2 linked regions of the Canis lupus familiaris genome follow. The protein of the gene in region 1 purifies or fractionates together with the protein of each later gene. This does not show direct contact. Links are inferred from orthologs where the notes say so. Each region holds a gene or a part of one and is shown on either strand. Other genes may lie near its edges.

Evidence for each region.
Region 2: the proteins of DBNL (region 1) and NEURL4 purify together in Homo sapiens (co-immunoprecipitation; 4 studies listed by BioGRID and IntAct, counting the BioPlex papers as one, with this or other methods). This does not show direct contact. The link is inferred for Canis lupus familiaris from reciprocal best matches to the Homo sapiens genes DBNL and NEURL4.

Annotation. Positions count from the first base shown.
Region 1 is NC_049237.1:14,468,961-14,484,728, forward strand, and holds the start of DBNL (drebrin-like protein), read right to left. Parts: upstream 8,197-15,768; 5' UTR 8,125-8,196; coding exon 8,042-8,124; intron 4,427-8,041; coding exon 4,371-4,426; intron 3,458-4,370; coding exon 3,345-3,457; intron 2,975-3,344; exon of another isoform or gene 2,874-2,974; coding exon 2,799-2,873; exon of another isoform or gene 1,635-2,798; coding exon 1,488-1,634; exon of another isoform or gene 832-1,487; coding exon 754-831; exon of another isoform or gene 507-753; coding exon 355-506; exon of another isoform or gene 319-354; intron 275-318; coding exon 232-274; intron 1-231. UniProt on the Homo sapiens protein: Adapter protein that binds F-actin and DNM1, and thereby plays a role in receptor-mediated endocytosis.
Region 2 is NC_049226.1:32,478,382-32,494,049, reverse strand, and holds NEURL4 (neuralized-like protein 4), read left to right. Parts: upstream 1-506; coding exon 507-770; intron 771-892; exon of another isoform or gene 893-1,012; coding exon of another isoform or gene 1,013-1,120; intron 1,121-1,634; coding exon 1,635-2,079; intron 2,080-2,293; coding exon 2,294-2,359; intron 2,360-2,509; coding exon 2,510-2,808; intron 2,809-2,955; coding exon 2,956-3,067; intron 3,068-3,148; coding exon 3,149-3,237; intron 3,238-3,715; coding exon 3,716-3,788; intron 3,789-3,920; coding exon 3,921-4,185; coding exon of another isoform or gene 4,186-4,260; intron 4,261-4,430; coding exon 4,431-4,612; intron 4,613-4,802; coding exon 4,803-4,888; coding exon of another isoform or gene 4,889-4,900; intron 4,901-5,009; coding exon 5,010-5,172; intron 5,173-5,312; coding exon 5,313-5,511; intron 5,512-5,598; coding exon 5,599-5,675; intron 5,676-5,800; coding exon 5,801-5,879; intron 5,880-6,258; coding exon 6,259-6,434; intron 6,435-6,521; coding exon 6,522-6,653; intron 6,654-6,979; coding exon 6,980-7,125; intron 7,126-7,228; and 26 more. Other genes in the region: GPS2 (G protein pathway suppressor 2), read left to right, coding at 12,216-12,309, 12,619-12,728, 12,808-12,920, 13,051-13,130, 13,223-13,305, 13,498-13,651, 13,758-13,847, 13,929-14,008 and 2 more; EIF5A (eukaryotic translation initiation factor 5A-1), read right to left, coding at 15,561-15,623. UniProt on the Homo sapiens protein: Promotes CCP110 ubiquitination and proteasome-dependent degradation. By counteracting accumulation of CP110, maintains normal centriolar homeostasis and preventing formation of ectopic microtubular organizing centers.

The sequences.
Region 1 (15,768 bases):
CTGTGGGGAGTGCATGTGGACCCAGCGGTGAGGGGTCCCGGATATGTGGGAGGGGCTCACGGGCCTCGTCCACACTGGCCGCTTCTGCCCTTCACTCTCCACTGCCACCTCCTGTGTACCCACAGGTCCCAGCTGGCTGCAGGACCTTCTCAGCGGCCCCCTCCCTAGGCCTGCTGGGCTGGGGCCCCGGCATATCAGGGACCCCTCAGGGTGGGAGCACCCACATCTCACCTGCTCTATGTTCCTTGAAGCCACTTCCTGCTGCTCACTCCTGCTGGGGGAGCAGAGGGAGGTGCTGCAGCCCAGCTGCAGCCCATGTGAGACCCTCCCTCTGCCCTCCCTCTGGGGCCTCACCTCTGGGGTCCCTCACTGGCCTGTGCCTCTTGATAGCGCTGCTCCCGGAGGGCTGCCTCCCGCAGCTCCCGTTCCCGGCGCTCCTGCTCCAGTCGCTGCCGCTCCTCCTCTGCCCGCCGCTTCTCTTCCAGCCTGCGATTCTCCTCCTCCTTCTGCAGGGAGAGCCGACCCCGCCTGCCCCACTCAGCAGTTGCACAGCAAGCAGGCGAGCCTCCCTTCCTGCCCCCCCACCCCATGCAAGTGTGGCCTGTGCAGAAGCGTGCTCAAGCGCAGCCACTAATGAGGACACGTGTTCTTTATCATGAGAAACACAGGGACGGCAAGGAAGACACCCTGACACCTGGCACGCATGATCTCCTTGAGGGCTGGCTGTGCTCGACGCACCCGCACAGCACTCACCTCTGCTTTGGCCCAGAAGCTGTCTTTGCCGACCCTTTTGATCTCAGAGATGGCGTTGGTCTTCTGGTACACAGAGCCCTGTGGACGACAGAGGATCCGCTACAGGACCGTCTGCGGGAGCACAGAACGTGAACAATAGTTGTGGGGACCGTGCCTAGCAGTGGCAGTGACACCTGGCCCGGGGCCTCTTCACCAAGATGGCCTGAAGGCCCCAGGAACCACTGGGCAATGCCAAGGGGGTTTTTGGCTGCACTAGGCCCCAATGGATAGAAGCCAAGGAGGTTCTGAGGCTGGCTGCTTCTAGGAGCTGGTCCACTAGCCTCAGACAGCTGGTCACCGTGCCAGTGTCCAGGGAGACTCCACAGACTGCAGCGCTGCTTCGGGGAACTGGGCTCCCCATAACCAGGATGTCTGGTGTCTACCCACAGCTGGAAGGGGCCTGACCATCCAGCACTTAAAGCTCCCCCATGGTGCCCACCATCCAGGGCCGTTCAGGACAGGCTGGACTGTCCTGCAGAGCCTCTGACCACACAAAACAGGTGTAAGAGGCTCCAGAATAGCCAGTGGAACCAGCAGGCAGGGTAGAGGGCTGCTCCTCACGCCCACTAGCACCTGCCTACTAGGAGGCAGCTCCGGCTTCTCTCTGGCCTAGGCTCACCATCTGCACCTAGATCTGCCTCCAGGACCGGAAGCCCTTGAGGGATAAGACACGCTTGGCCCTGGGCAGCACTCACCACTGGGGCCTGAGGGCCTATGTCCTGGAAACGACCACTCTCCTTGTGGAAGGCATAGTTGGCTCCTGAGGCCCTGGCCACTTTCTGCATGATGCACTCAGGCTCCACGTCCTCCTCAGCCCTCGCGTTGATGGTTACATGCGCCCCCTGCAGCAGGACAGCACCTAGGTGTTGCAGCTCCAGGAGAGGACAGGACGCAGCCCCAAGTCTGCAGAGCGCAGACAACTGCTGCCTGGGGTTCGAGGTCAGGAGACCCTGCTGGGGCCCTAGGCACGCTCTCCACAAGACCGACAAACTACCTTGAGGCAGAGAGCCTGTTCTCACCCCAGCACCTTGCCCCTTCCCAAGCTGATTCCCCAGGGCTGTGTGTTCGCTGCTGGAGGCCCAGGCAGGAAATAGTCCTGATTAACGAAATCAACAAATTAACGAAAAGCCAACTTAAAAAAGGATCTGGAAATGCAATTTCTGCAAAGAGCAAACCACTTATTTCTTCTTCCTTTTTTTTTTTTTTTGTCTTATTTATTCAAGTAATCTCTACACTCAACCTGGGACTTGAACTCAGGACCCTGAGATCGAGAGTCGCTCACTCCTCACACGGAGCCAGCTGGGCGCCCCAGGCACCAATTTCTTTTCTTTTCTTTTTTTTTTTTTCAGGCACCAATTTCTTATTGAGAAGTCAGACCCATGACCTCACTCCCTGCTGGTAAACATCCAACAGCTTGGGATCCTCTTTCAGCTCCCAGATGGAGAAACTGAGGCATGTCTGAAAAAGCGTCAGCAGACTAGAAATCAAAGTCCTAGATCTTTCTGCCAGTAACCAAAGAAATGCAGGTTATCTGACAAGCAAACAACAAAGGCTTCTGGAACTAAACGAGGTTCCGCTGCGAGGACTGATGTAAATACACACGTAGGTTGGCTACAAACAGGGTACAGGGAAATGTGCCCGCTGAGGGGGCTGGGCACCTGCACCCTTCCTGCTCCTCCAAATCCTGACAACACGGCTGAATAAACCCTCACAAAACCAACGGAACCCAAGACCTCGCTCCAGATTGGCCTTCCCTGTGCTTGAAAAGGACAATCGCCTGTTCCTCCCCGCTGCTAACACCAGCTTGCTGGTCGCTCTGGCCACAGCATGGCCCTCTGGGTGCTGGCCAAGCAGGAGCGCAGCAGCCTCTGCTCATGTCCTCAAGTCCAAAGAGAGCATCGGGGAGTGGGACCCACTTCCGGTTCTGGCTGTGATTCGCGCTCACGCCCGCCCAAGATCGCAGGAGCCTGGAGACCTGTGTGAGGCCTTCAGGGTGCAGCCCTCACCTTCAGAAAGCTGGCCATGGTGCTGACGTGGTTGGCGCACGCTCCCTTCCGCACATCGTTCACACCTTCGCCTGTCTGCAACATGACACACCCGGCGTGACCTGCCAACTTCCCACCGCCCTGCCTCCCTAGGGACCCAGCAGAGGGACAACTGTGACCCTACAGCAGACCATACGGTAAGCCCCACATCCTTCAAGTCAAGGAGGTTCTTGAGTGCAGGATGACTGCCAGCTTCCACTGGTGGGGGTGGGGGGTTGCCTCAGAACCTCCTGGTCTCCCCAGGCCCTTCGCTCCCTCAGGACGACCCCCTGAAGGGGACAAATGTGTGGGTGTCCTGAACTGTACTGCTGGTTGTGGGAGTGGTTCTGGGCTAGCAGTGCTCCCGCTGTCGTCTGGGGCACAAGGACTTCATCCACCACCTCTGAGCTGCCCCAAAGACAGGTCCTCCTCCGCTCCCACCACGGAAGGCAAAGGAGGAAAGCAGGAAAGGGAGCTTTTCGGGGTCACGCCTGGATGAGAACTCAGAGGCCCCCGGGTTCCACATACCCAGTTGATGAGGACAAACTTGGGCAGGCCAGAGTTGGGGTCCTTCACCCTGCAGAAGGCGTACATCACCTTCCCGCTGTTGAGCTCCTCCACCATCTCCTCCAGGCCCCCCTCTGCAGTGGGCACAGGGAGGGTCAGAGGGTCCCACACCTGCTGCCTGCCCTGGCACAGTGCCCCCCAGGAGAGGAAATCCAATCTGCCTCGGAACCAGGGCTCAGTGCTGCCTGCAGAATCAGACTCCTCATCCTGCCCCCACTAAGTTGCTGCACAGGATCTGTGTCTGTAACAAGCACCTCAGGTGAGATGTTCCACATGCCAACCTAAAAACCATTAGTATAAAACCCAGACAGCTTCAGAAACAAAAATGCAACAAATGTTGACAGTCATGCAACAAAGTGGGCATGAAGCTTCCAAACAGAGGGTCTCTGCAACCATCTTCCTGCTGCCTGGACCCCACAAAGGGCCCTGAGCAGATGGGACCAGTCTGCAGTTGTGCTCAGGCTCAGCTCTCAGACCCTCCACGTAAAGATAAGGGAGTGATGGGCGCACAGGAGTGGGCCCTCTTCAGCTGTTCTTATCAGCACCCCCAAACCCACCCAGGCTATAAGGAGCTGGATCGAGTAATGTAGCTGGAGGGCCCCTACGGGCTTGGGGCAGTGCTGAGCCCCTACCCTGGGCTCTCACAGCAGAGCCCTGTGAGTACCCCTGGGGTGCTGGCAAGAAACACAGGGGCCTGAGACCTCCTTCTAAGCAGATGACCAGCAGGGAGTGAGAGGCAGGTTTTCTAGCCCAGTCAGAACCACTGAGCAGCCAGTGGAGGAGGTACTGGTGAGCACTCGCTGAGTAACAGAGCTGCATGTAGCTCCAACACCGACACTGTGGTGGGGAGCGGTCCTAGCAGCCTCGCCACGTGCTGGGACACCTCTGTGCCTGCAGTCTCCTTGCATTAGCTGTGATGGCCAAGGCTGCCAGGGAGCACCAATGCGTACAACCCGCCCCCCGCCGCCTTCACTGGGACATACTCACCCCCTGTGCCAGCCACACGGATGTCATTGCTGTTACCCTCATAGGTAAAGAGAGCCCTGAAACAAAACAAACAAGCTCTGTGGCCTTTGCCACACCTGCCAGGAGCTGAGCGTGACAGCCACATGGGCCCCACCAGACCCCACGGGCCTCCCAGGTACGAGAACTGGAGAAGACAGAGAATTCCCATGCCTTCCGGAACCAAAGCACCCCAGCAGGTGAGGCAGGAAATGGGAGTGCGCACACTGGACATCTGGGAAGGCAGCCCAACACACACCCAACACCACAGCCTGGTGCCTGTGTGCTCTGCCTCCCGAAAGCCTGAGGAGTTGGTGCAGCAGGTCTCTCTGGGCTTGGGACTCTCCTGGAAAACCCAGAAGCCATATGGGCCATGACTCAGCACGAAGTCAGTCTCCTCATGGGACAGACTTCATGGTTGGGAAAACTCTTTCTGGAGGAGCCTTAAGTCTTCACAGGTGACCCTGGGCTGCACCTAAGAACTCTGGGAAAGATTCATGCCTATGAACCGGGCCCGAGGTGTTCAGGAAATACAGCAAATTTTATTACGTCTAGGGCATGGAAAGTTGCTTGACCAGCACAGAGGTGACCCATGGAAAACTTTCTGGAAGAGGTGGCTTATCCACAGTCCACACAGGACCCAACCATCAATAGCCGCAGTTCAGCTCCAGGTGGCGCTGGCAGACGGAGGGTGGAGGGGGTGGGGTGCTGACCCAGCAGACAGCAGGTCAGAGGCAGAACCTGGACTAGCGGGTCATCCCCCCATGCTCTGAGCACAGGCCTGCCCAGGCCGGCCAGACAGGGGCCACGGGGTAAAGAGCGTGATAGGAACCGGGACGCCTGGTTGGCTCTGTTGGTGGAGCGTGCGACGCTTGATCTCGGGTTGTGGCTTTATGCCCCATGTTGGGTGTAGATATCACTTAAAAATAAAACCTTAAAAAAAAAAGAATCTGATAGGAATGAAATCAGCCTCCACTCAGCATCCCCAAGGCCTTGCTAAGGCCACCAGGCAGAGCTCCGAGTGTCAGAAAGTGGGAAGAAAGGAGCCCCAGGCCTAGCCGGTCTGCCTGGCAGGGGGACAGGCCTCCGAGGAGGAGACACACACTAGAAGGAACACGCCAACAGGGAAAAAATATGGGAGGTGCTGGACGTCCAGACTCTGGGGGCCGGAGTCCTGGCCAGCCTTCCTGCTGGAGGAAAGAAGCCTGTATATCTCGAAGCCACCCAGCCCTGGCTGCAGAAGATGGGGACGCTGGACAAGCTGCAGGGAGCAGAGATACTTCCTACTTCCAAGGGGCCCATGCCTGCTGCCTGCCCTCTATCTTCACTCCCCTCCACTCTGGGCTCCAGCCTAACCCACTTTCTGGAATGCTACTGGCTCAGAGGTTCATTCCCACATTCAACAGACTTCCGTCCATCTTTCAAATCACCGTGGACAAGTGGTGTGCTCACCTGGGCACAGCACACGGAGCATGGTGCACCAAGCACCTGGTAACGCAAGCAACCCTTCCTAAAACACGTACTGAGAACCTACCGCTTGCTGGTCCCTGGCATGAGGCTTCCAATAAACCCCAACAGGCCGGGACCATGAAGCTTACTTTCTAACAGGAGACAAAAAAGAAACCCATCCAGACTAACACCCTGTCAGGCAGCAAAGTAGGTGCAGGAGGTAAACTCACATGCCTCAGTCTAGAACAACCTCGGGAACCAAAGCAAAGACCTGTGATGCAGAGCTGATATGCGCTTGTTCCCCACCCTCCCTAGCTTCAGGCCCCCAACCGGCATAACCTGCTCTGCACCCACCAAGCCAGAGCCCACCTTGTCTTGCTGGTATCCTCTGCCCCATGTTCTGTACCCCTCTAGGTCACTGTCCATGCGAGCCCTGAGGGCACACAGCAGCCTTGCGCTGGGGACAGAGAGGGCCCAGCCTGTGGCGAGGAGAGCAGCGTCTGGCATGTATCTAGGGAAAGTCGCACAGGGCGCCAGGAGTCAAGTAAGGCCTCTCCAAGAAGGCAGTGTGGGGAGACCCCCAGGGTGATGTGGAAGGGTGCTCTAGAATGGGGAAGCAGCAAGAGTGAGAGGGCTCTGAGGAGGAAGCAGCTCACAAGTTTGAGGAAGAGAAAGAAGGCCACGGTGGTGGCAAACAGGTGTGGCCCCAGTGTGGTAAGTGGGAGGGGTGGCCAGAGGGGTCAGGAGCTGGCCACACAGCACCTAGGAGCCCAGGCAAGAGGTCTGAGCTTTATTCCACGTGAAAGAGGAAGCCACTGAAATTCAAGCAGTAACCTGTCTATATACTTGTTCAGTGGATAAGTGGGGACAGGCCACACATTCTCTGTTGGGATGTTTAAGGCTGTGATAATGATGAGGGAAGCCAGGGTCTGTGCCACTGCGTGTATGACCTGCAGTGCTGCAGGAGGCTGGCTGGTCAGATGGAGGTGGGGGGCTCTGACTGGGCGAGGGGACAAAGGGAAGGTAGGGTGGCAGCAGATAGCTGTGAGACGCAGCCCAAGGAATAGCTAGAAACGTGGGAGGCCTGGACTGCCCACTGGGCTGTGGGACCTCCTCCCCAAACCAGTGATGGTCCCTAAGAGTGAAGACTCCCGAAGGAAGGCAGTAGGAGGCCTAGGACTCCGTCAGGTAAGTTAGCAATGGCTATGCTGGACAAGAAAGGGGACGTGAAACAGCAACACCCTAAGCGAGCGGGACTGGAGAGGGACAAACAACACTCCCAGGTTCCAAAGTCAGGTGGCCTCACGTGGATGTGAAATGGGGCACCCAGCGCGGCGGTATGGTGGTTTGGAGGAACAGCAGGGTTCTCTGAGAATGGGAGAGGCAGGACGGGGGTGAGGGTGGTGACACTTGGAAACTCATAGAAAAATGAGAGCCTGATGTGTGCGCGAACTCCCTACAGCATCGTGGGAAGGAGGCGGCACTGAAGCCCTTCCCAACGTGTTCCCCACGAGCTGCTGGCTCCCCGGCAACACCGCGCAGAAGGCCCCCCCGGGGTCCCCTGTGTCCGTAGACCCAGCTAGCCGGTGCTGCGGCGAGCGCGTGTCCCCAGGCCTCGGTGCTGGCTGCAGGGCTCCGCGGCTCTGCCACCCTGAGAGGGACCTGCCCCTGCCCCGGGAAGACGCTCCTTCACAGCCGGTCACCCTTGGTCATCACACTCAGCGTCTTTCTTAGGAAATGCTCACAACTGGTCAGCGAAACTGAAGGCCACCGGGAACGCAGCGGAGGGCCCCGCGCAGCCAGCGGGGCCTGCAGGACCCACAGCCGCCCAGGGCCACCGCACACCGACCGCCCGGGAGGGCGCCGGGGTATACGGGGGACGGGGCGGCCGCGCAGGGCTCACGCCGGAAGGGCTGTTCTGGAAGGAGGGAGACTGAAGCCCACAGGCCCGGAAACCCGGAGCCCCACGCACACCCCTGAGCTCCCGGGCGGCCCGGCGCGGCTTCCATCCCTCGCGGAGGGCTGCGCAGAGCCCCTCGGTGCGGGGGTGTCCTGGGCGGGGCCCCCGGCGGGGAGCGCGGCCGGGGCGCGGCGGGGCCGGGGCCGGGGCGCGGCGGGGGCCCCCACCCCCACCCAGCGGACGGCGGGACCGCGGTGCGGCGGCTCACCTGCGGCCCCCGGGCCCCCCCAACCCCCCCGGGGCCCACCAGTCAGTCGGGGACTTCTCGGTGACCACCCTCACGTAGGCCTCCTGCAGCGCCGGCCCGTTCCGGCTCAGGTTCGCAGCCATCGCCGGCCCCGCGCTCCCCTCGCTACCGCCACCGCCGCCGCTTCCGGGCCCCGCCTACCCCCGCGACCGGAAGCGGAAGCAGGGTGGAACGGCCCTAGGGGAGTGGGCGGGGCCCGGCGCTCCGGGTAGGCTGAGCCGAGGAGCGCGGCGCGGCCCGCCGCGAGTTTGCCTAGTGCTGTCGCAGTGGGCGCCGCGGCCTGGGAACGCGGCTCAGCACCCCAGGCCCTCGCTCCGTGAACGAGGCGCGCGCGCACCGGGGGCACCGGCGGGAACGAGCGCCGCGTGCGGGCCACGGCTTCCTGGGCCTCTGAGCCTCCCCCCCGCCCCTCCCCGCAGGCCCGCGCCCTGGCCCCAGGCTGCCCGGTGCGCCCCGGGGGCCCCCACGCAGGACCGCCCAGGACCCCGCAGGCCAGCGCGCCCCCGTTTCTTGCGAGATCAATCAGCGAAGCGGAGCCTCGGGGCGCCTCCGGGCAGGACCTGCCGAGGTCGGGGTGTCGGCGTCCAGCTGTGCAGACGCGGGCCTGTCACCGCCATCTGGGCGCGTGGGTCACGGGCTCTGTGCGCCCTTGACGTTCGACTGACGGACAGTGGGGGCCGGGAACCCTGCACCCTTCAGGCCCTGCCGCCTGCAGCCCCTCCCGCCCGCAGTCCGCCCTGGGTCTGCCCTCCTGCAGGAGCCGGGTCTCCCCCTTCTCCAGGAATTGCAGGCCTCCCAGCTCCCCCCATCTTTCATTTGTTTATTCTTCGCTAACTCGTCCTCTGTTCTAGTTTTTCCCTCAGGACCCCTTCAGGTGACTTTCTGCTCCTTCCCAGCCGCTCCCGCGGCTCCAAATCCAGGGACGTTCAGCCCTCGGCCTTACTGTTCAGTCTTCTTCTTTTTTGGCTCCAGTGCATCTTTGTTTTTTTTCTTCTTTCTCTGGAACTGGTCTCTATTTAATCACTGCCTAGTTACCAGTTGCTTAGTTCCCCTGGCTGCCAGGCCCCAGCCTAGGGACCCTGGACCCCTGGGAGGTCAACATATTAGCCAACTTGGGGAGAACCCACATTGCCTGAATCAGGCTGTGCAGGCCGAAGAGACAGGTCTCTTGGTTCTGGAAATAGATGAGCTGGGTGTGGTAAGCAGGTGCATCCACGATGGTGAGGGAAAAGCAGGGAGACCCAGGCTCCATGTAGAGAAGGCTCTTAGTGGGGTCCCTGGTGTGGGAGGGTGGGGGCACCAGGGTTTTGCTTTCTGCTCCAGGATGTGGGAGCTTGTTTCCACCTAACAGGCCAGAAGAGGTCTCTCTGGACAGGTAAACCTGGAGCAGAGACTGGCTATGGGGTGGGGAGCATGGCTGTGGAAGATCCAGGAAGAAGTGCTTTGGGCGGAGGGAACAAGATGTGTCGGGGCTCTGAGGTGCGGGGGAGCCAGTCTAATGATGGGCTGATGATGGAGAACAGGGAGAGGGAGAGGAGGGAAGCTGGGTCCCAGGGGACCCTGTAAGTCAGGAAAGGACTTTGCATTTTATTCCAGGTATAATAGAATCCCAGGGAGAAGGGGGCTCTAATTAGAGAGCATTGTGATCTGGTGATATTTTAAAGGGGTCCCTCTGGTTGCTCTGTAGATGCTTCCATGCTTGATCCTCCAAGTGTGGCTTGTCTATGTTCCTGTTTCCTCAACCTATCACTCTTTTTGGTCAGCTACTCAGTTTGAGAATGTGAGATGTCCCCAGAGGTCACCCCAGACTCCTCTGTCTTCTCCTTAACTGATTCCCTACTCTCCAATGAGGGTCCACGTGTTCTTCTTGCACGTGGGTGCACACACAGCTGCTTTACTCCTGGTGGGTTCAGATGGCAGATCTTGGGCACAAAACCGGAGCCAGAGCCAGTGTCCTCTGCACTCTAAGGCAGCTGACCATGTCCTAAAGGCATCCAGGCCAAGTGTGGAGGGAGGATCTTGCCAACAGACTCCCTTTGGCGCCTGCCATGTAGATAGAACTAACAGCGTGAAGAAACAGACCACTACTGCTCAGTCATAAAAAAAGAAGGAAATCCTGTGATTTGCAACACCACGGATAGACCTAGAGGGTCAGTGAGTCAGACAGAGAAAGACAAATAATATGATTTTGCTCATATGTGGAATTTAGGAGAATGAACCAACCAACAAAACAAAACAGAGACAGACTCAGAAATAGAGAACAGACTGGTGGTTGCCAGAGGGAAAGGGGTGGAGGGGTGGGCGATTAAACAGGTGAAGGATAGGAAGGGGTACAAACTGCCAGTCGTGAATGTCACGGGGATGAAAAGTACAGCAGAGGGAATATCGTCAATAATGTGTGTGGTCACTTTGTGCGGTAACTCGTGGTGAGCATTGAGTAATGCACAGAATTGTCCAATCACTGTGTTGTACACCTGAAACCAATATCACACTCTAGATGAAGGATAGTTCAGTTAAAAAATATACATTATCCCCTTGTGAGACATATAGTAACACTGTGTATACACAGTTTTCATAGAAACAATGTACTGAATCAAAACAAGAAAAAACCCTGACAAGCACAGTGTTTGCGTCCATGTGGGCTCCTCTCACAGAGCACCACAGTAAACAATGGAAATTTAGTTTTCACAGGACTGGAGGCGAGAAGGCCAAGATGAAAGGGCTAGTAGTTTCGGTGTCTGGTGAGAGCCTGCTCTCTAGTTAATAGATGCCTGTCTTTCGTGGAGTCCTCACCTGGTGGAAGGGGGTGAGGGGGCTCTGTGGGGTCTCGTTCAAAAGGGCACTAATCCCCCTCATGGAAAAAAAAATCTCCTTCACGAGGGCTCCACCCTTCTGACCTAAAAGTCCCAGCTCCTAGTATCATCACTTCAGGGACTGGGATTTCAGTGTTGAAATTTCGGGGGACACAGTCATTCAGGTCATTGCAACCATTAAGTGGGGATTGCTGCTGATGCAAAGCCTTCATCAAAAGGAGTGTCCATTAGCAGAAAAAACATTTTCTGTTAGCCACCGGGATGACATCTTTCCGCTCCAGCAACACATGGCTGCACTCCTACAGAGTTAGAGAAGTGGGACAATTGCTCTTCCTGTCCTAAACAGAAAACCTTACACTACATGGTAAGTGGAACCCAGTAAACAAATACCTGATTAAAACTACACCGCCACCTTCCTAGTGGAGTCCCTATGATGATGTAAGCGGAGAGTAAGAAGTCAATGGCAGGGAGGTGGGCGAGCTGCCTTCCTGACCCTGGCTGGGGACTCTGGCCCTGGGGCAGGGGGGTACCTGCAGGGCATTAAAGTCTCGGCTCTGAGGGGTGGCCCATGGCAAGGACAAAGCATCCTCCTGCAGCAGGAGGATTGCTCTCCTGACACCCCAACTGTTTACAGAGGCCATGCTTGCTGTGAGTGTCTCAGGCTCGCGCAGCCCCACAGCCACCCCAGCAGCCATGCCTCCATCCCCATCCTGGCTTTGGGAGCTGGTGGGCCCTTTGGCCTCTGGTCATTCCTGGCTTTCCTGTGCTCTGGCCAGGCTGCGATTATTCCTGAGAACAAACTCAGAGGCAAGGCTGGTCCAAGCCCCAGAGGGCACTTCTTTCATTTCTTCACATGAATAGAGGGACGGAGGCAGCTGGTGCCTGTGTTTGTGCTACTGAGAGGTCTATGCTCCGATGACAGTGACTGTTTCCCTAGGGGTCCAGGGTGTGAAATGGTCACAAGCTAGCTTACGTGAATTGTGCCGTTCACTTCCCAGGAACACCCATATTCATCTTGCCAGTCCTCAGTGATGCTTCCCTGACTCCATTTACCTCAATGCTCCCTGTGGCTCCCTGACGGCCCCAGGGCCCCAGTTTGGGAACAGCCATGTGAGAGAGCGTCCCCAAGTGCCATGCCAGCAACCAGAATGTGCTGTGAGCCCTCCGGGGCCTAGTGTGGGCAGAGCTGCTCCCTCTGCCTGTGGAGTCTTCCTCCCTGTCCATGCTTCTCCACCCTGTGGCCTCCTCAGTGGGCTACCAGAAGGCACACAGCATGCTTTCTTTTTCTAATTCTCTTTCCCTTCCTTCCACAGCTTGCACACTGTAATCATGGAATCAATGCTTGCCTAAAGCCTTGATAGCATTAGGAAGTGATTAGGAGGGCTAGCCAGCAGTGACAACCTGCTCCTATGAGCAGCCCCAGGCACCATTATGGGGGGGCAGGGGGCAGGCGGGGGCAGCGGAGGTGAAAGGCAGGCTCCGAGGGGCCAGCTCTATCATTGCCCCCCAAAGCGGAGCCCGGCCCAGCCCCTGCATTTGGAAGAAGGCCTGTTGCAGATAGTCTGTGGGCCTCTCTGCGGGGCGTTGAGAGGGGGCCTGGGACAAGCAGGGAGGGTAGGGACGGAAGGAGACATTTTTCAGTGAACTCAAGAAATTGCTGTCTGGTCTGATAGTTTTTATGGATTCTCTATAGCTGTTTGGTTTTGTGACTGATAAAATCTGTCAACAGAGAGAAACTGGTGTGATGGGGATGACGAGGCCAGCAGACTGGCCAAGAAGAATGATAGGTACTTCTGTCACCAGCAGGCAGCACCACCTGGCACTAGGCTGCTGTCCCAGGGAATGGCAGCCATATCCTCCATTTGTCACAGGACCAGCCTTTACTCAGCACTGCTGGGGAGGAAGCATGTGTCACAGTGAGAATGGCCAGTGGAGAACAGAGGCAGAGGACAAGGAGGGGGTGGTGAGGGCCCATGGTGACCTCGAGGCTCTTTCTCAGCACCACCTCTCCCTGGGTACGAGGGACAGACCTCAGGCAGAGAGATCTGCAGACCAGTCCCCCAAGCACGTCTCTGCCCCCTCCTTCTTTTTAAAGATTTTATTTATTCATTTGACACACAGAGAGAGAGAGAGAGAGACAGAGAGAGAAGAGAGGGAGTGCAAGCAGGGGGAATGGCAGGGAACTACAGAGGGAGAAGCAGATTCCCCACTGAGCAGGGAGCCTGACGTGGAACCAGATCCCAGGACCCTGAGATCGTGACCTGAGCCGAAGGCAGACGCCTCACCCACTGAGCCCCCCCCCCCAGGTGCCCCTTGCTGTTTTCTGGCCCCCGAAGAGACTCAGTCTTGACTTGCAAAGACAGAAGCCTGCCCATCCTCGGGCATTTGCAGTGAGGTGGTGTGGAATCCATGGCATTGACATCATGCTCAGCTGTGAGCTGCTAAGACTGCTGGACATGTGCATCCCAGCATTTTGATCCCTTGTCAGGATATTTTGACCCTGTGCCACATTCTTGGAACTCCCGGGTCTTCCCAGAGCCTGACAAAGGACCAGATCTCAGCACCATCCAGCAAACCCAGATACCTGTGGTCGGGGTCAATAGTTATCTGACTGAGCACACACATCATACCCCCAGGTGGGTTTTTGGATCTGCTGTCCAGTTGCTAACCTAGGACTTGCCTTGGAAACACGTGTCTGAGCATGGGTGACACAGGAGCTGCAGGCAGCACAGTGAATTTTAAAATAAGGCTTTGACCTTAGAAACCTGTTCTTGGGGCTGACCTGAGGCCTGGAAGGCATGACATGCAGGCGAGTTCCCTGGGGGAGAGAGTCTGGGGGTGTGCAGAGTCAGGCCTGAGGAGCAGCACCGCAGGGACCCATCCCAGGGGTCTGGTGGGTACGTGGAGGAGTTCAGGCTTCCAAGGTGATAATGCACAGCGTGGCCTCTGAAGGGCTGGCTGCATTCTCTCCGCTCCGTCTCTTCAGCACAGCGTACAGGCTGGGGGACATTTTCAATGGACTCAGAAAGGTCACCAGCCCCCCGGGTCATAAGCTGTAGTGCTTGAAAGGCTCAGCATGGCACCCGCAGTCTCAACGCCAACCTGGGCCTAGATATTCCCTCTCTGAGGGATTTGTCTCTAAAATGTGAAAATGCCCCACCATACTGTGCTTTGTGATGCTTGGCTGCAAGGTATGAGGTGACCACTGTCTGAAGTGGCAAAGCCAAACGCATAAACTTCCCAGGGACTATGGTGATGATGGCATTCTTCCCATCTGGTAAGATTTATCTTCTTGCTTAAGTGAAGACCAAAGGGATAGCAAAACAAAACAAAACAAAACAAAACACAAAAATGTAAAAGCCAATCCTCACCATGGTGAGGAAGAGAATGGGGCCCGTGGAATCCTAATGATAGCCTTCTGGTAACAGAGGGTCCTCCATGGGGACCCCACAAAGGGATCAGACCAAGGCTCACACTGCTGCCAGTTTTGCTAAGAAGTGATGTGAACCTCAGGAAACTCTCTGGAAAGCGTCAGCAGTGAACTTGTGCTATAATTTGAGAGTTTCTGGAGGAAAGCAACCTCCTGTGATCCCCAGGTCCAAGGTCTGGAGGCTTCCTTCCAAACTCTGCAGACCTTTCCTTCTCTGCCCCCTGCCCTTGCTCATCCAGCACGACGTCCATGGCTGTTCTGGGAGTGGACCAGCCTTGGAACCCACTTAGAGAAGACCATTTAGAGACCCTCAATTTTCCTCCATCTGTGAGGGTTCAAGGAGAATAACTCCTCTCTTGCCCTTCTCCCAGGGAACCTGATCTCAAACCTCAGAGCTCGAAGGGCAACCCTGAGAACCTGTTGCATCAGAAACGGAAGAGTGAAGGCCAGTCACTCAGCAGGGATCATGTCACTCATGAAGAACATGTTGAAAGTTTGCTGTTCTGAAAGCTTCCTGGAAGAAAAAAAAGTAGACATAAATGTCAGCTATCGCTTAGGGTGATGAGTGAATTATGTTTTAATTTATCCTTAATAAAAGTCTGCTCTGCTCCGCTCCCTGTGTTCTGGTCTGTGAATGGCTCACACTTGGACCTACTGGAGGTTCCATGTAGGAACACAACCCAAATCTCTCTAGGTTTCACAATTTTGCTCTTGCTTCTAAAAAGACTGTCATCTCTGATGGAGCGTTATGTGTTTTATGTCCTGGCATTCTATTGGCTGCTTCTCAGTGTGAGGGGAGAGCGGCAGCACTCAGGGTTAGAGAGAATGCCCAGTAGGAGCCACAGGGCAAGGCCCCCACTTCCCAGGGAGGCTGAACTGAGAACCCAGGTCCAAGGTCTGGAAGCTTCCTTCCAAACTCTGTAGGCCTGTAAAGGCCCCATCTGGCCTTTGAGTGTAGGCCTTTAGTGTTCCCAATTCCCACGGAGGCTCACGGCCTAAGCCGAGCCTTCCCAAGACGGGGCTCTTCAGCAGATGGGATGGGAGGTAAGCCTGCACAGTCTGCCTTGGACACCCCAAATGCACTGAGTTCTAAAAGGCAAAAAGCTCATGGTGAGGGGCAAGGTTGAGGCTCCTGTCTGGCACAGTAGTGAGTGATGCTACCCTTAGTGAGGCTGGAAAGGGGACACGTGGGGCACTGTACCCCCAGGAGATCGGTAGTGGGTCCAGTGGCGGAGCTGTTTCTGTGAAGCTAGGGAGGCTGGAGATCATAACCGTGTCTGCTGATTTGGCATCAGGAAGCGCAGTGGCTGAGAGTGGCTCAGCATCTGGGGCAGCTTCTCTCTCTCTCTAAATAGGCTTCATGTCTCATGTGGGCTTGAACTTATGACCCTGAGATCAAGGGTCACCTGCTCTACTGACTGAGCCAGCCAGGTGCCCAGGGGCCAGCCTCTCCCGCACAGTGTTTCTGTGCCCATGCTCTCACT
Region 2 (15,668 bases), on another chromosome or scaffold:
GAGGTGTTCATTTATAAAGCGCCCGGCTCCCTTCCCCAGGTCCTAAGGCCGCTGCTCACCCACTGCGAAGGCTGTGGCGCGAGGGGAACACACCCCCTCCGCCCGCCGTAAAGCGGCTTCCTAGAGGGGCCGCGTACCTCGGCGAGGGCGGGGTCGTCGGCGCCGCTGTTGCCAAGCTGAAGGTGGGGCGGACCCCCTGCGTCGTAAAGGGGCCTGCGGCTGTCGTTTCCTCTTCTGTCGCAAAAGCTCCCTGTCCTAGCCCACACGCCTTTGAGAGCCTCGCCGTCACCCCGCCGTGCCGTAAAGCAAGCCTGCCCGACCCCGTCGTCCTCCGTTCCCACCGTGGTGGGTTACTAGTTCCCTAGCCCGGGATGCTTCCTCGCCCGGCAGTGCCGTAAAGCATACCCGGCCCCAGCGCGGAATCCCGTTCCCTCTGGGTGTCTGTGCGTCGCGGTTGCCACGGTGCCGCCAAGCGCGGCTGTCGCGCGGCCCCGGTGTCAGCGGCGATGGCGGCGGGGTCGGGTGGGAGCGGGGGCTCCGGGGGTGGCCCCGGGCCGGGGCCTGGCGGGGGTGGGGGCCCCGGCGGGAGCGGCGCAGGGCCGGGGTCCGGCGGGGAGTTGCACCCCCGCACCGGGCGCCTGGTGAGCCTGTCGGCCTGCGGGCGTACCGCGCGGCGGCAGCAGCCGGGCCAGGAGTTTAACCACGGGCTGGTGTTGAGCCGGGAGCCCTTGCGCGATGGACGCGTCTTCACCGTCCGCATCGACCGCAAGGTGCGGAGCGGGGCCCGCGGGAGGGAGGCGGGAGGGGGCGAGCGGGAGACGCGGGGCGGGACGGCCGGGCTGGCCTCCGCCGCCGGCTGCCGAGAGCGAACCGACACACCGTCGCGGCACCAGGCGGCGGGCGGGGAAGGGGAGAGGGACGGCGAGAGCTTTAGATTGCTCGAGACCCCGGAGCAGGGAACGGACACGGGACGCTGCCACCCCAGGGGTGGTTAGGGTCCAGATCTCCCGGGATGGTTTCTGGGGAGGTGAAAAGATGGAGGGATGTCGGGGATGTGGTAGGAGCGCAGGAGAGAAGCCGGGGAAGGACCGGCCGTTGGAGGATCAGCTGGGGCGAAGAGGTGGGTGAGGAGAGACCCTCAGGGGGGCCGAGGGGAGGTGTGCCTGCTTGTGTGCCCCTCGGAGAAGAGGCCAGGTGCACACAGATGGAACTTGGGAAGAGAGGGAATCTGAGTGGAGCAGGAGCCCTGGAGAAAATGAGGTCGGGGGTGGGGGGAATTGGGAGGGGGGAGGAGGGTGGTAGACAGGAGCTAGGAGGATGGGCATGGAGAGCCGGGAACTTGGATGCTGGAAGCCAGGGGGGCTGCAGCCAGGGCATGGTGGTGTTGGGGACAGATCCCAGAGTGGGGGCAGAGTTGCTGGGGTACAGCGGGCCCAGCAGTCCCTGAGACAGTCCAGATGATTGCTCACAGGACCACCTCTCTAGAGTCGTGTCTTGGGTCTCAATAGAGAAAAGCCAGTTAGCTGTTAGGGGTGTGGAGAGAGGGGGACACGTGGTTTGTGAAATGTGGTTTCCTAGTGGTTGGGGACCCACGGTAGCCCATCCTGAGCCTCTGTCCACCACCCTTATCACAGGTCAACTCCTGGAGTGGCTCCATTGAGATTGGGGTGACGGCCCTAGACCCCAGTGTTCTGGACTTCCCAAGCAGCGCCACAGGGCTGAAGGGGGGCTCATGGGTAGTGTCAGGCTGCTCGGTGTTGAGGGATGGACGCTCTGTGCTGGAGGAGTATGGTCAGGACCTGGACCAGCTTGGTGAAGGGGACCGTGTGGGCGTGGAGCGCACAGTTGCTGGGGAGCTGCGGCTCTGGGTGAATGGGCGGGACTGTGGTGTTGCCGCCACGGGCCTCCCCGCCCGGGTCTGGGCCGTGGTGGACCTTTACGGCAAGTGCACCCAGATCACCGTGCTGCCCCCCGAGCCAGGTTTCAGCCCCCCTGCTCCCATCCCCACACCTCCCCTCGAGCCCTCTGCACCCCCTGAAGATTCCACCTTGACTGAACAGGCGACCTCTGGGGATGAAGGTGAGAACCCAGCCAGGGCCGAGGGGAAGAGGCGGGGCAGGGGGAGTGGCAGAAGGCATGGGTGACTAGTGACCATGGAGTCTGGGTTCGGGTAGGGCCACTCAGACCCCAGTCTGCTGAAGGGGAAGCAGGGGCTACAGGAGGGGTGTCCTGGTTGTGGGCCCCGCAGCAGGGGCTGGACCCTCATTCCCCTCCCACCCCGCCTGGTCCCCAGCCTTCATGGTGTCCCCAGCGCAGCCCCGGCCGGAGACGTTTCCTAACAGCCTTGAGTCGCATAATGGTGAGGGCACCCTGGAGGCTTTGGGAAGGGGAATGGGAAGTGAGGCGGAAGGTGAGGGGAGGGGGCCCTCAGGAGAGGATTAGGGGGAGAGTGGAGGGCCTGAACGTGTAGAGCCTCATTCCGGCTTCCCTCCCCTGTCCTGCCGCCTAGACTTTGCCAGCATGGAGCTCTCTGAGGTGGTGGGCAACGCCATCCTTTCTGCCTACAACGGGGGGCTCCTAAATGTGAACCTGAGCTCCCCACCGGCAGGGGAAGGACTGGGGTCTGGCGGGGCTGCCACCTCGCCCATCCTCACCTCCAACGACGCCCTGCTCTTTCACGAGAAGTGTGGGACTCTCATCAAACTCAGCAACAACAATAAGACAGCTGAGCGCCGCCGGCCCCTGGACGAATTCAACAACGGGGTTGTCATGACCAACCGCCCTCTCCGGGACAATGAGATGTTTGAGGTGTGTGAGGTCCTGGGCCCTGGCTGGTACCTCACCCTCTGGGAACCAAAAATGGGGCTCGATCCCTGACATTGGAAGGGTGGGGCCGAGGGTCCTCTCTCCACATTGACATGCCCTCCTCTCCCTCCTGCTGTCGCTCCCCCCAAGATCCGCATTGACAAGCTCGTAGACAAGTGGTCGGGCTCCATTGAGATTGGTGTCACCACCCACAACCCCAACAACCTGGAGTACCCTGCCACCATGACCAATTTACAGTCAGGTACCAGCCCTGGCGGGGCGGGGACACCTTCCCATGGTGAAGGAAGGCCTGGCCTGATGCCGGGCGTCTGCCTTCCCACAGGCACCATCATGATGAGCGGCTGTGGGATCCTGACCAATGGCAAGGGCACCCGCCGGGAGTACTGTGAATTCAGCCTGGATGAGCTGCAGGTAAGGGGTGGGCGTGCAGTCTGGGCCGCGCTCTGGGGCAGCCTTGTTACCCAGCACCCCTGCCCGGGCACCCCAGTCTCCGCTGTGACCTGGAACAAGGCTTCTGATCTTTCTCCGAGAGGTTCCTTCTGAGAAGGCACGGTTGCCTGGTAGTTAGGCACTCAGATTTCAGAGCCAGAGGTTTTCTTTTTTTCTGAGGGGTCGTGTGGGGTCATGACTACAGTCAAGAAGCTTGCTCACTATGTTTGGTATGGGTTTCTTTTTTTCTTTTCTTCTCCACGCCTGAGATGAGCTCATGAATTGCTTGGAGAGGTGGCTAAGGTGCTGTGTATGAGGTGGCTTCACCCTGTGCCAGACTTGCTGTGAGGGAGGGTTCAGGGGCTCAAGACTCAGGTGCCTTTGGGGCTGTTCCCCTGCGGCCTGGGCCAGAGCCTGATTGGAGGCGGATTCCAGATCTTTGTTTTTCTGCTCTGACTAGGAGGGCGACCACATTGGTCTCACAAGGAAGTCCAACTCAGCCCTGCACTTCTTTATCAATGGCATTGATCAGGGTAAGGAGATACCTGAGGCAGGCCATTGGGCTAGGGCTTTCGGTGTTGGGCAGGGGTCTGTACCTCACCGTCCTGTGTCTCCCTGATGCTGGTCTCCCCATATTCCTTCCCTCTCTGCCTTCTCCCCGGCAGGCGTGGCTACCCCACTGACACCCCCAGTGGTGTACGGCGTGGTGGACTTGTACGGGATGGCTGTGAAGGTGACCATCGTCCACAATAACAACCACAGCGACCGGCTGCGTCGAAACAATGCCATCCTGCGGGCACTGTCCCCCGAGGGCGCCCTGCGTCGCGCCACTCCTGCCACCCAGGCAGAGCCCGAGCGCCTGCTCTTCCACCCTAACTGCGGGCAGAAGGCAGCTATCACCCACGAGGGACGCACTGCCCTGAGGCCCCAGTATGGCCCATGGTGTGGGGAGAAGCCTGCTGCAGGGACTCTAACAGGATCGGAGGAGGGGTGGAGAAGCAGGAGGCAGGCGTGGGGGGGGGTGTGTGGCTTCTGACCTGGGGAGTTCTTGATAGTATGGGGGGGTGCCTCCTGGAGAGTGAAGTTCAGCCACGTGGCTCAGCACCACAGGTGTGAGGTGGGCACTGGCGGGCTAAGCTTTGGTGTGCTCAGTTACGCATTCGCTGTGCCCTCAGTGCCACAGATGACTTCAACCATGGCGTGGTGCTGAGTAGCAGAGCCCTGCGGGACGGAGAGGTGTTTCAGGTGCGCATCGACAAGATGGTGGACAAGTGGGCTGGCTCCATTGAGATTGGTGTCACCACCCACAACCCTGCCTACCTCCAGTTGCCCTCCACCATGACCAACTTGCGCTCTGGTGAGCTCCCAAGGAGGGCGGGGCCAGGATCAGGTCCTAAGGGGGAAGCTGCCCCCACAGCCCCCACGGAGCTGGCTTGTTCTTGTTTTGCTGCGGCGGCCTGCCACGGGGGCGAGGAGTGCCGTGGGGGCTGTGAAGGGCAGGGGGCCCGGGGCTCACTTATGTGCTCTGTGTTTCCTCGTTCTCCTAGGGACCTGGATGATGACCGGGAATGGGGTGATGCACAACGGAACGACCATTTTGGACGAGTATGGGCACAATCTGGACCGCCTCAAGGTGGGGGAGCAGGTGTGCCGCCCAGGCCTGGTGATGGGGGGCAGGCCCATCGGGGCTGCTATAGGACTAGCCCAGGCGGGAACTCTGCCTGACTCCTCACTCCAGCCCCCCTTCTTCCAAGGCAGGGGACACTGTGGGCGTGGTGCGGCGGGAGGACGGGACCCTGCACTTCTTCGTCAACGGGATGACCCAGGGCCCTGCGGCCTGGAATGTGCCCCCTGGCGTCTACGCTGTTGTGGACCTCTATGGCCAGGCAGCCCAAGCTACCATTGTGGATGACGTGGGTGAGGGCTGGGATGGGTAGGAGCTGGGGGGTGCTGGGGTGGCCTGGGGTGGCTACCGCCCAGGCCTGGTAGGAGCTGGGGGGTGGCTGGGGGGCCTCGGAGACCACTGGAAGCCTAACGGGTGATGACCACTCTCACAGAGGTGCCCCCGGCCCCTGAGCCCCTCTCTGAAGGGAACAACCAGGTGTCTCCCAGCTCCCCATCATCAGGGGCCGGGGGCTCTGACCTGCGCTTCCATCAGCTGCACGGCAGTAATGCAGTCATCACCAACGGGGGCCGCACCGCACTCCGGCACAACTGCCGCAGCGAGTTCAATGACGCCATCGTCATCTCCAACCGGTCAGTGTTGGCGCTGTCACGGCCCCAGCCTCCCGCCGCCCAGCCTTGGCCACCCAACTGGGGCCTGATTGCCGCTGTCTCTGGCAGGGCCCTGCGGGACGGAGAGCTGTTTGAAATCGTTATTCAGAAGATGGTGGACCGCTGGTCAGGCTCCATTGAGGCTGGTAAGGGGCACCTGTGCATTTCTGCATGCGTGCATGCACGTGTGTGACAGACTCTGTGTGCTGGGGATGGTGCTGGCTGCCCGTTGCTGGAGCCTTGGTTCTGACCCCCTGCTGCTACCTCCTAGGAGTGACTGCCATTCGGCCGGAAGACCTCGAATTCCCCAACACCATGACAGACATTGACTACGACACATGGATGCTGAGGTTAGGCTGCCTGTGGGGACAGCCAGCCTGGCAGGGTCAGGTGGAGCTAGTGAGGATGAGGGAAGCCAGCTTTGGGGCCTTCGGTGGCCCTGGACAACGACAGGTCCAAGGGATCGGGTCGCTCTTTTCTTTCCATTCTGGGAAGTGCTCCCATGTCACCACGCACCCCACGGTGGCCCAGCTTCCTTTTCTCCTCTTATGGCAGCTCCCGCTTTTCTCTGTGGGTGGTCCCCAGAGGTATGGGAGACAGGATTGGGTCTCAGACCCCAGATGAAGATCCTGATGCAAGGCACTGGAAGGTTCTGACGATCAGAGACTGCTCAGAGGCCTGTGTGGGGAAGAGGCGGGAGGCTCAGCGGTCCTTCTGTCCTCTCTCCAGTGGCACGGCCATCATGCAAGACGGGAACACGATGCGCAACAACTACGGGTGTGACCTGGACGCCCTGGGCACGGGTGCACGCATCGGCATGATGCGAACAGCCAAGGGTGACCTGCACTACTTCATCAACGGCCAGGACCAAGGCGCCGCCTGCTCAGGCTTGCCTCCGGGTAAAGGTGACTGCTCTGTGCCTTTTGGCCCGCCACCCTCATGCCAGCTCAGCCCGGGCTCTCGGGCTTCTGATCCCCTCCTTCTCCATCCAGAGGTGTACGCAGTAGTGGATCTTTACGGCCAGTGTGTCCAAGTGTCCATCACCAATGCCACCGGCCCCATGGACAACAGCTTGGCAACCAGCAACACTGCCACCGAGAAATCCTTCCCTTTGCACTCCCCAGGTTCAGCGCGTGGGGAGGGCGAGTGGGCTATGCTTGCAAGCCGGGGGCTGGAGGGATGCGGCGACAGCGGACGGGGAGCTGCTCAAGGACAGGGCAGCCCCCTCAGCTACAGACCCAGGGGAGGGAATAAGCTGGGGTAGGAAGCCATCAGGAAGAGGCTGGAGTTGGGCCAGGGTGCTGGAAGCTGCTCATGTGCTTGGGGATTGGGGCTGGCTGTGGTGACCAGGGTCGGAGGTCGCACGGCAATGGCAGTCGGGGCCTGAATGGCAGCTTCACAGTTCACCTGAAAGCCTTGACCCCAGTCCTGCCCCTTCCTTTCTCCGCAGCGGCTGGCGTGGCTCACCGATTCCACAGTACTTGCGGCAAGAATGTGGCCCTGGAGGAGGATGGCACAAGGGCGGTACGTGCGGTGGGCTATGCGCATGGCCTGGTCTTCAGCACCAAGGAACTCAAGACGGAGGAAGTATTTGAGGTGCGCGGGGGGGCCCTTGTGGCAGGGCCAGGCTGCTTCCTGTCCTCCTGCTCCTGCTAGTGCCGGCTGCTGTGCTCTCTCTCCCTCTCTTTTACCCCCTCAGGTGAAAGTAGAGGAACTGGATGAGAAGTGGGCGGGCTCCCTCCGGCTGGGGCTGACCACACTAGCGCCCGGGGAGATGGGGCCTGGCGCAGGTGGGGGCCCAGGGCTGCCTCCCTCCCTCCCGGAGCTCCGGACAAAGACCACCTGGATGGTGTCCAGCTGTGAAGTGAGGCGTGACGGGCAGCTCCAGAGGATGAACTACGGCCGGAGCCTGGAGAGGCTGGGGGTGACACTGTTGGCTCCAGGGACGGGGTGGAGGTGGGCACATGGGTGAGGGGGTGGGGGGCTGAGCATCTGTGCTTGTGTCACCTCGATCCTAGGTGGGGAGCCGCGTGGGCATTCGTCGGGGCGCAGATGACACGATGCACATCCTGGTGGATGGAGAGGACATGGGGCCCGCAGCTACCGGCATTGCCAAGGTGGGTCTGAGACGTTTCTTGGGTTTGGGGGTGCAGGCTGGAGGCCCCCTGCGGGTGTCTAACTCCTGCATCTACCTCCTGCCCCCAGAATGTGTGGGCCGTGCTGGATCTCTACGGGCCGGTACGGAGTGTGTCTGTGGTCAGCTCCACAAGGCTGGAGGAGCCCGAGGGCACCCAGCCTCCATCTCCCAGCTCGGACACGGGCAGCGAGGCCGAGGAAGATGACGATGGGGAGGAGCACAGCTTGAGAGTGAGAGGCTGTGTGGGGCACACAGGGCATGTGGATGGCCACTCAGTGGGCCGTCGGACACCGGGGTGTTCCGGGGTTCTCTGATCCTGCCCCAGGTCGCAGAGGCGTAGACGCAAGCTCTGTGTCAACGCCAGGCGGAGGGTGGGGCGAGGCAGCTGGGCCTCGCATGGACAACCCCAGCAGCCCATCTCTGCTCCATGCCAGGGTCAGAGTCAAGTGGCCATGATGTCGACGTCACTGGAGTTCCTGGAGAACCATGGGAAGAATATCCTTTTGTCCAACGGGAACCGTACGGCCACACGCGTAGCCAGCTACAACCAGGGCATCGTTGTCATCAACCAGCCCCTGGTGCCCCAGCTCCTAGTCCAGGTGGGCATTTGCTCCTTAACCTGCTGCAGCTCTTCCTGTGTGGGGTGACCCAGGGCCAACCCTCCTGGAGAAAACCTTTCCATTTGAGGGCAAGGTAGAGGCAGCCCCCTTGGATGAGCTTCATGGGCTGTGATTCGTTCATACCCTGTGGTGGGGTTTGTGCGTGGACTGTGTGGAAGGCCCACCTGGTAGCTGGTGAGGGAAGCAGTGGGGATGGGCTGGCAGGGTCCCAAGAAAGACACTTGGTACTACGTGTGGGTGCAGAGAGGGCTTTCCAGTGGAGCAGGCCTTCCTGCTACAGGAAGGAAATAAATGAACCCGCTGTTTGCAGTCCCTCCCTGCCTCAGCAGGGGGGACATTGCAGGGCTCCCCTCCGGGAGGTGCCAGCCTCCATCCCTGGCTGGGGTGGGGAGCCTCTTCCCAGAGGGCCATGATCCCGGAGTGGCCGCCTTTCCCTTCCAGGTGCGGATAGACTTCCTGAACCGGCAGTGGACATCTTCCCTGGTCCTGGGAGTCATCACCTGCCCGCCTGAGAGGCTCAACTTCCCTGCTTCTGCCTGCGCCCTCAAACGGGCAGCCTGGCTGCTGCGGGGCCGGGGCATCTTCCACAATGGTCTCAAGGTGGGTAGGGAGCAGGGGGAGGGGAGAGGGCCAGGACTCAGCGTTGGGCAGGGCTGGCCCACAGGTTGAAGTGGGGCCTCCAGCCGTGGTGGTGAGGCCACAGGTATAAAGGTGCACTGTAGGGAAAGACTATGGGGTTGGGGGAGCAAGAGCGGGAGCATCATCATCGGAACTCTGGGGCGTCCTGTGTCTTTCTGCATCCTTGCCATTGAGAATGTTGTAGGGGAGGACAAAGGGAAGCAGACTGTAGGTATTTGAGAGATGGGGTGGAGCCTGGGCAGAGGGCGAGCATGGTGTCAAAGCCCTGGCATTGGCAGTCCCAAGTAGGTGAAGGGCTATATGGACTACAGTGGGCAGTGGGCAGCCTTGGCTGCTGCCGGTGGGAGTCTGATCTTTGGGAAGACAGTAGGTCTCTCTTCCTAGATTTGTGAGAAGTTTGGGCCAAATCTGGACACGTGTCCTGAAGGCACCATCCTGGGGCTGCGGCTAGACAGCTCTGGGGGCCTGCATCTCCACGTCAATGGGATGGACCAGGGGGTGGCGGTATCAGATGTCCCCCAGCCCTGCCATGCGCTTGTGGACCTCTATGGGCAGTGTGAGCAGGTGAGCGGCAACAAGGGCCTGGGGTGGGGCAGTCTGTGATCTGGGAGCCAGTTAGCAGGCCCTGGGGGCTCAGTCACACTCATCACACTCTCTCCGGCAGGTGACAATCGTGAGTCCTGAACCAGGGGCAGCCAGTGGGAAGAGTGCTGGAACCCAAGGGGACATGGAGAAAGCGGACATGGTGGATGGTGAGCCAGCCCACAGGGCCGGGCCTCTCCCCAGCCCTGTCCCACCCCGTCGCCCCAACTCCCGTGACCCGTGCCCCCCTCTGTCCTGTCAGGTATCAAGGAAAGTGTGTGCTGGGGCCCCCTGCCAGCTGCCAGCCCTCTCAAGAGCTGCGAGTACCACGCCCTCTGCTCCCGCTTCCAAGAACTGCTGTTGCTTCCTGGTGAGTGTCTGGGTGAGTGCCCGGTCATCCAGAGCCTGCCTCACCCCTTGGACCATTGCTGGGCTGTGCTCAGAGCCCCGGGAACCAGCAGGAAGGGGTCTGTGTGCTGGAGGCCCAGGGCGGGAGCTGTAGCGCCCACACTGCTCCTCACTTTTTCACAGAGGACTATTTCATGCCTCCACCCAAGCGGAGCCTGTGCTACTGTGAGTCTTGCCGGAAGCTTCGAGGTGACGAGGCCCACAGGCGCCGTGGGGAGCCCCCCCGGGAATACGCGCTGCCCTTCGGCTGGTGCAGGTTCAATCTCAGGTACACGCAGGGCAGGGTCATGCGTCTGCTTTCGTGCTCTTTCTTCCTTGACGAAGGAGGCTCCCAAGAGGGTGCGTGGAAGAAGCCACAGAACCTTTACTGGTCGAGGGGAGGATCTTTGTCCAGTCTGCCCGGTCTACACCCTAGGGTGAATCCCCGCCTGGAAGCTGGAACGATGACTAAGAAGTGGCACATGGCATATCACGGGAGCAACGTGGCAGCCATCCGGAGGGTGCTAGACCGAGGAGAGCTGGGAGCAGGTCCGGGGGCAGGGGCAGAGAAGGGGCAAGCCAGGCCTGGGCCAGGAGGCTCTCCCTGCAGGCACCGCCTCCATCCTGACTGGCTCTCCCCGCAGGCACCGCCTCCATCCTGAGCTGCCGGCCCTTGAAAGGCAAGCCTGGGGTGGGGTTTGAGGAGCCTGGCGAGAACTGCGCCCCACCCCGGGAGGAGCAGCCCCCTTCCGTCTTGCTGTCCCCCTCCCTCCAGTATGCTGGGGCCGAGACCCTAGCGTCCAAAGTGCAGTGAGTACATGGGGGCTGGGACTGGGGTCTCCATGGCTTCCCATTGGTGTCCCCGCTGTGACACTTGGGTCTTGTCTCACTCTAGCACATTTACTGTTGAAGGTGACTAGTACTGTGGAAATAAAAGTAGAGTGGGACGCAGTGGGTCCCAGGTGTGCTTTGCACAGGTACAGGCACACAGTAGTCAGGGTAGACATGGCGACGAAGGTTAGGTTTGGGCAGAGGCCTGCAGAGGGAAGCCAGGGAGCGCCCTGGAGAGACCCCAGCAAGCAGGGGTGCGGCCAGAGCCAAGCCACCTCTCTCTGGGAGGTGGGAGTGACCCCCCCCCTCCCCCCCCCCCCGCAGGCAGCCGAGGGAGGAGCCTGGAGGCCTCACGGCTGGCCTTCTTCTTGCCCTGCAGATTCCGGGATCCCAAGTCCCAGCGAACGCACCAGGCCCAGGTGGCGTTCCAGGTGTGCGTGCGCCCGGGCTCCTACACCCCCGGACCCCCTTCGGCCACCCTCCGAGAACCTCCCGACCCTCACTTCAGCCCCGCAGAACTCGAGTGGATAACCAAGGAGAAGGGGGCCACACTCCTCTATGCCCTGCTGGTGCGGGTGGAGTGAGGGCTGGCCTCTGGACGACAAGCACAGTGGGGCCCCCCCGGCCCTGGCTTAGCATCCCCTGCCGCGGCGGGTGCTCCCCGAGCCCCCGGAGCCCCCAGAGCCCGACGCATCTCTGGAGCAGGAACGCATCTCCGCGTGCAGGGCCCACGCCTCCCACTCGGGGCCGGCAGTCTCCCCTCATGCACTGACTCGGGGAACACGACTCCCTGGACTCCCTCCCCCGGATCACTTAATTTATTTCCGTTTTCGTTCCTGTTACTGTGAATCCCGAGGAGCCTCCCCGGGCCGCCGGGCGGAGTGGGGGCGGGCGCGGGGAAGGTGGGCCTCTGTACAGTTGTTACGGACGCGGGTTTCCAAGGAGCCAATAAACGCTGTCCCAGAGCGCGCGCCTCGGCCTCTTTCTCATTCATCCCCCTCTCGCACCGCCCCCCGACGAGCCCCAGGGCTGCCCAGCTGGGGGCGCCCGGCGCGCCGACGGAGTTTGGCCCCCCGCGGCACCCGTCGCAGCCGCTTCCGCCCTTCCCTGCGCCCGTCCCGCGAGGCCGCCGGCCGCCCCGGCTCCGGAAGGACTCGGCCCGGCAGCCGGATGTGACGCGCGGCCGAGGCGCACAGGAGCCGCGGAGAAAGCGCAGCGAAGGCGGGTAGGGAGGGGCGGGCGGCGCCGAGGCCGGAGACCCCAGCCCGCCGGCGCACGCGGAGCACAGGGGCACCCGGAGCACCCGGGACCGGCCGGGCGGCGGAGGGTGGGCGCCGGGCACGTGACCGGGGCGGCGGCGGCAGGCGGGCTTCCGCCTCGGCCCGCGGGCGCGACCCTCCTAAGCGCCCGCTTCTCGGCAGGCCCGGCCCAAGGTCTGGCAGTCCGTGACAGAGCCGGGCGCCCACGGCCCGAGCGTCCCCCGTGGCACCATGCCCGCGCTCCTGGAGCGCCCCAAGCTTTCCAACGCCATGGCCCGGGCGTTGCACCGGCACATCATGATGGAGCGGGAGCGCAAGCGGCAGGGTGAGCCCGGCCGAGGGGGAGGACCCCCAAGCCCCGCACCATGGGCACAGCGCCGCGCCGCGGCCGCGCGGGAGGAGGGTGGGACGGCCCGCCACTGGTGGAGGGAGCTGCAGGCCGGGTCCGGGCTCCAGAAGACTCGGGCCGGGAAGGACCTTGGAGAGCACCTGACATACCCTCCCTCCCAGTCCCCTGGGAGGAGAGGAGCAGAGGGAGCACTGGCACCGGCAGGTTTCCCCGCTTCTCCATCTCTAACGTCCTAGTGTTTTAACCACCCTGCGTTCTTCCCATTGCACCTGGTTCTTTCTCCAGAGGAAGAAGAGGTAGACAAGATGATGGAACAGAAGATGAAGGAAGAGCAAGAGAGGAGGAAGAAAAAGGAGATGGAGGAGAGAATGTCACTAGAGGAGACCAAGGAACAAGTAAGCAGCCCCCTGCTCTGTCCCAGCTTTTTCCTCCTTTGGCTCTCCTGCCGTCAGCTCCTCTCCCCTGCCTTCTCAGATCCTGAAGTTGCAGGAGAAGCTGTTGGCCCTTCAGGAAGAGAAGCACCAGCTCTTCCTGCAGCTCAAGAAAGTTTTACATGAAGAAGAGAAACGGAGGCGAAAGGAGCAGAGGTGGGATTGGAGAGCTAAAAATAAAATTGAGACAGTAACTGGGATGGGTAACACCAGATGGGTGTCTGATGGCAAAAGAGGGGGCACTTGTCTTCATTCTTGGTTTTGACCTGCCTGCCTTTCACTGCAGTGACCTGACCACTTTGACTTCAGCTGCGTACCAGCAGAGCCTGACCGTCCACACTGGGACTCACCTCCTCAGCATGCAGGGTGAGGAATGAAGAACCCGCTTGTTAGAATGCACCCTCCCGGGGGTTGCAGCCACCCCACTGCAGCCTCATGAAGCCCGTCTCCCTGTCTAGGGAGCCCTGGAGGACACAACCGCCCAGGCACCCTCATGGCGGCTGACAGGGCCAAACAGATGTTCGGACCCCAAGTGCTTACAGTAAGGAGTAGCATTGGGTGTGTAGCCCGCCATTTCCATGCAGACACGGGCACCCGCATTAAACAAGTATTCAAGTCACCAATGTTGTCCAGCACTTGACCAAATGGTGGAAAATTGGGCACATACAAGGCGCTTGGGGTTCTGCTTTGGAGGAGTTTCCAGCAGCAGCCAGCGCTCCTCTTCCTTCCTCAGACGCGACACTATGTGGGCTCTGCAGCTGCCTTCCCCGGGACCCCGGAGCATGGCCAGTTCCAAGGCAGCCCCGGCAGTGCCTATGGGACCGCGCAGCCCCCGCCTCACTACGGACCCACGCAGCCGGCCTATAGCCCCAGTCAGCAGCTCAGAGGTGAGCCGTGGGTTGGGAGGGGGGCGCTTCCTCCAAGACCCAGAGGCCGCTGGTCCCAGGCAGGCCCGAAGGAGGCTCGACAGGCTGTGCCTCCTGCCTCCCTCAGCACCTTCGGCGTTCCCAGCAGTGCAGTACCTGTCGCAGCCGCAGCCACAGCCCTACACGGTGCACGGCCACTTTCAGCCCACCCAGACAGGTGAGGATGCCCCCGCCAGGGCCCCAGGGCTGAGCGTCCTCCCCGCCTCCGCGTTCCACACACCCATCCTTCCCTTTGTAGGCTTCCTCCAGCCTGGCGGTGCCCTGTCCTTACAGAAGCAGATGGAGCACGCTAACCAGCAGACCAGCTTCTCAGACTCTGTGAGTACAGAGCCTGGGCAGGGCAGGGGCAGTGCTGGGCCCAGGGGTGCCCCAGGCCGCCTCGGACCCTGACTCTCTTCTCCGTAGTCCTCCCTGCGCCCCATGCACCCACAGGCTCTGCATCCAGCCCCTGGGCTCCTCGCCTCTCCTCAGCTCCCGGTGCAGATGCAGCCAGCAGGAAAGGTAAGGCCAGGGGTCGGACCCGGCTGGGGCCCTACCCTTCCAGGGGGAAAACCAGATTGTGTAGGAGAGGCGGCGCCCACCCCTCCTCTCCCATTTCCTCCTGGGGTGGGGATGGCTGGGAGTTCGGGTGTAGATTGAGGGGCAGGGTACACACCAACGAAGTCCCCCCACTTCTGCCACCAGTCGGGCTTCGCAGCCACCAGCCAGCCTGGCCCTCGTCTCCCCTTCATCCAGCACAGCCAGAATCCACGATTCTACCACAAGTGATCATCAGATTTTATCTTCAGCCTCAGCCACAGCCCCTGACGTGGGTGAGGGAACTTGGTGTCCCAGTCTAATAAAATTTACCTGCCTCTGCCCCTCTGCTGCTGTGTGCATCACCTCCCTCCCGGGCTGGGCCAGGGCTGTGTGGAGGGTGAGGAGTGACAGGCAACTAACAGGTGAAGCTGGGTGGGTGGGTAAGAGGGAACTCTTTGGCATAGTTGTTTATGTGTAATTTCTAAGTTGACTTTCTAGTCAGCAAATACCCATTTAATTCAAAGAAGCAACTGAGTTGGGGCCTTCATATTAAACTTGTAGTTTTATTCAGGTTTGATTTTAACAAATGTGTCGGGGAGAGAGCCCACAGGAAAGGGTAAAGCCCATGGGGGCAGGGCCCTCCCAGATGCCTGAGGAGGGGGCAGGTCCCCTCCCCTCTCCTCCTCTTCCCTCCCCAGATAAAGGAGAGACTTAGGCAGGGGAGGGGGCTGGTCCCCAGTCTGTGGGGTGGTGCTGGGGTACAGGGCCATGGGGACAAGGACCAGAGCAGGGATGAGGGGGAGGGCACAAGGACCAATCGCCAGAATCCACAGCTTTCTGATTCCAGACTGAATTAAAAAAAAAAAAAAAAAAAAAAAAAAAAAACCAAAAAAAAAAAAAAAACCACTAAACCACAAGCAGCACCCACCCCTTCTCCCCGACCAGGGCTGTAGTGCGAGGGGAGAAGAGGAGGGCAGCTTCACCAAGGCCATGGACCACTCACTCCTGGCCGAGAGAGCAGGATGAAGGGCAGGGGCTCCCCGACAGATTGAGGGGGTGTGGGGGAAACCAAAATAAAACGTCAAATAAATTGTGTAGGAGGAGTCCAGCCAAGCGCCGGGCCAGAGCTGGGCCAGAGCTGGGCCAGGCTGGGGGAGGGGGCCTCTGCAGGCTGAGGATCGCTGCTGCCACCACCGCCACCCTGGGGAGGAGAGAGATCAGTGAGACCAGAAGATGCCATCAGGACAGGGTGAGGCCCAGGCCGCAGCCAGAAGCCAGCCAGGAACTGTCAGGGGCTAAAACAGGGTTCTGATGGGGATGGGGGCGTGTCAGTCAGTCACCTGGGAGCCAGTTATTTTGCCATGGCCTTGATTGCAACAGCTGCCTCCTCTGTCATGGCGGACAGCACCGTGATCTGAGGGCACAAAGGGCAGAGTCAGAAGTGAGCCAGAGGCAGGGA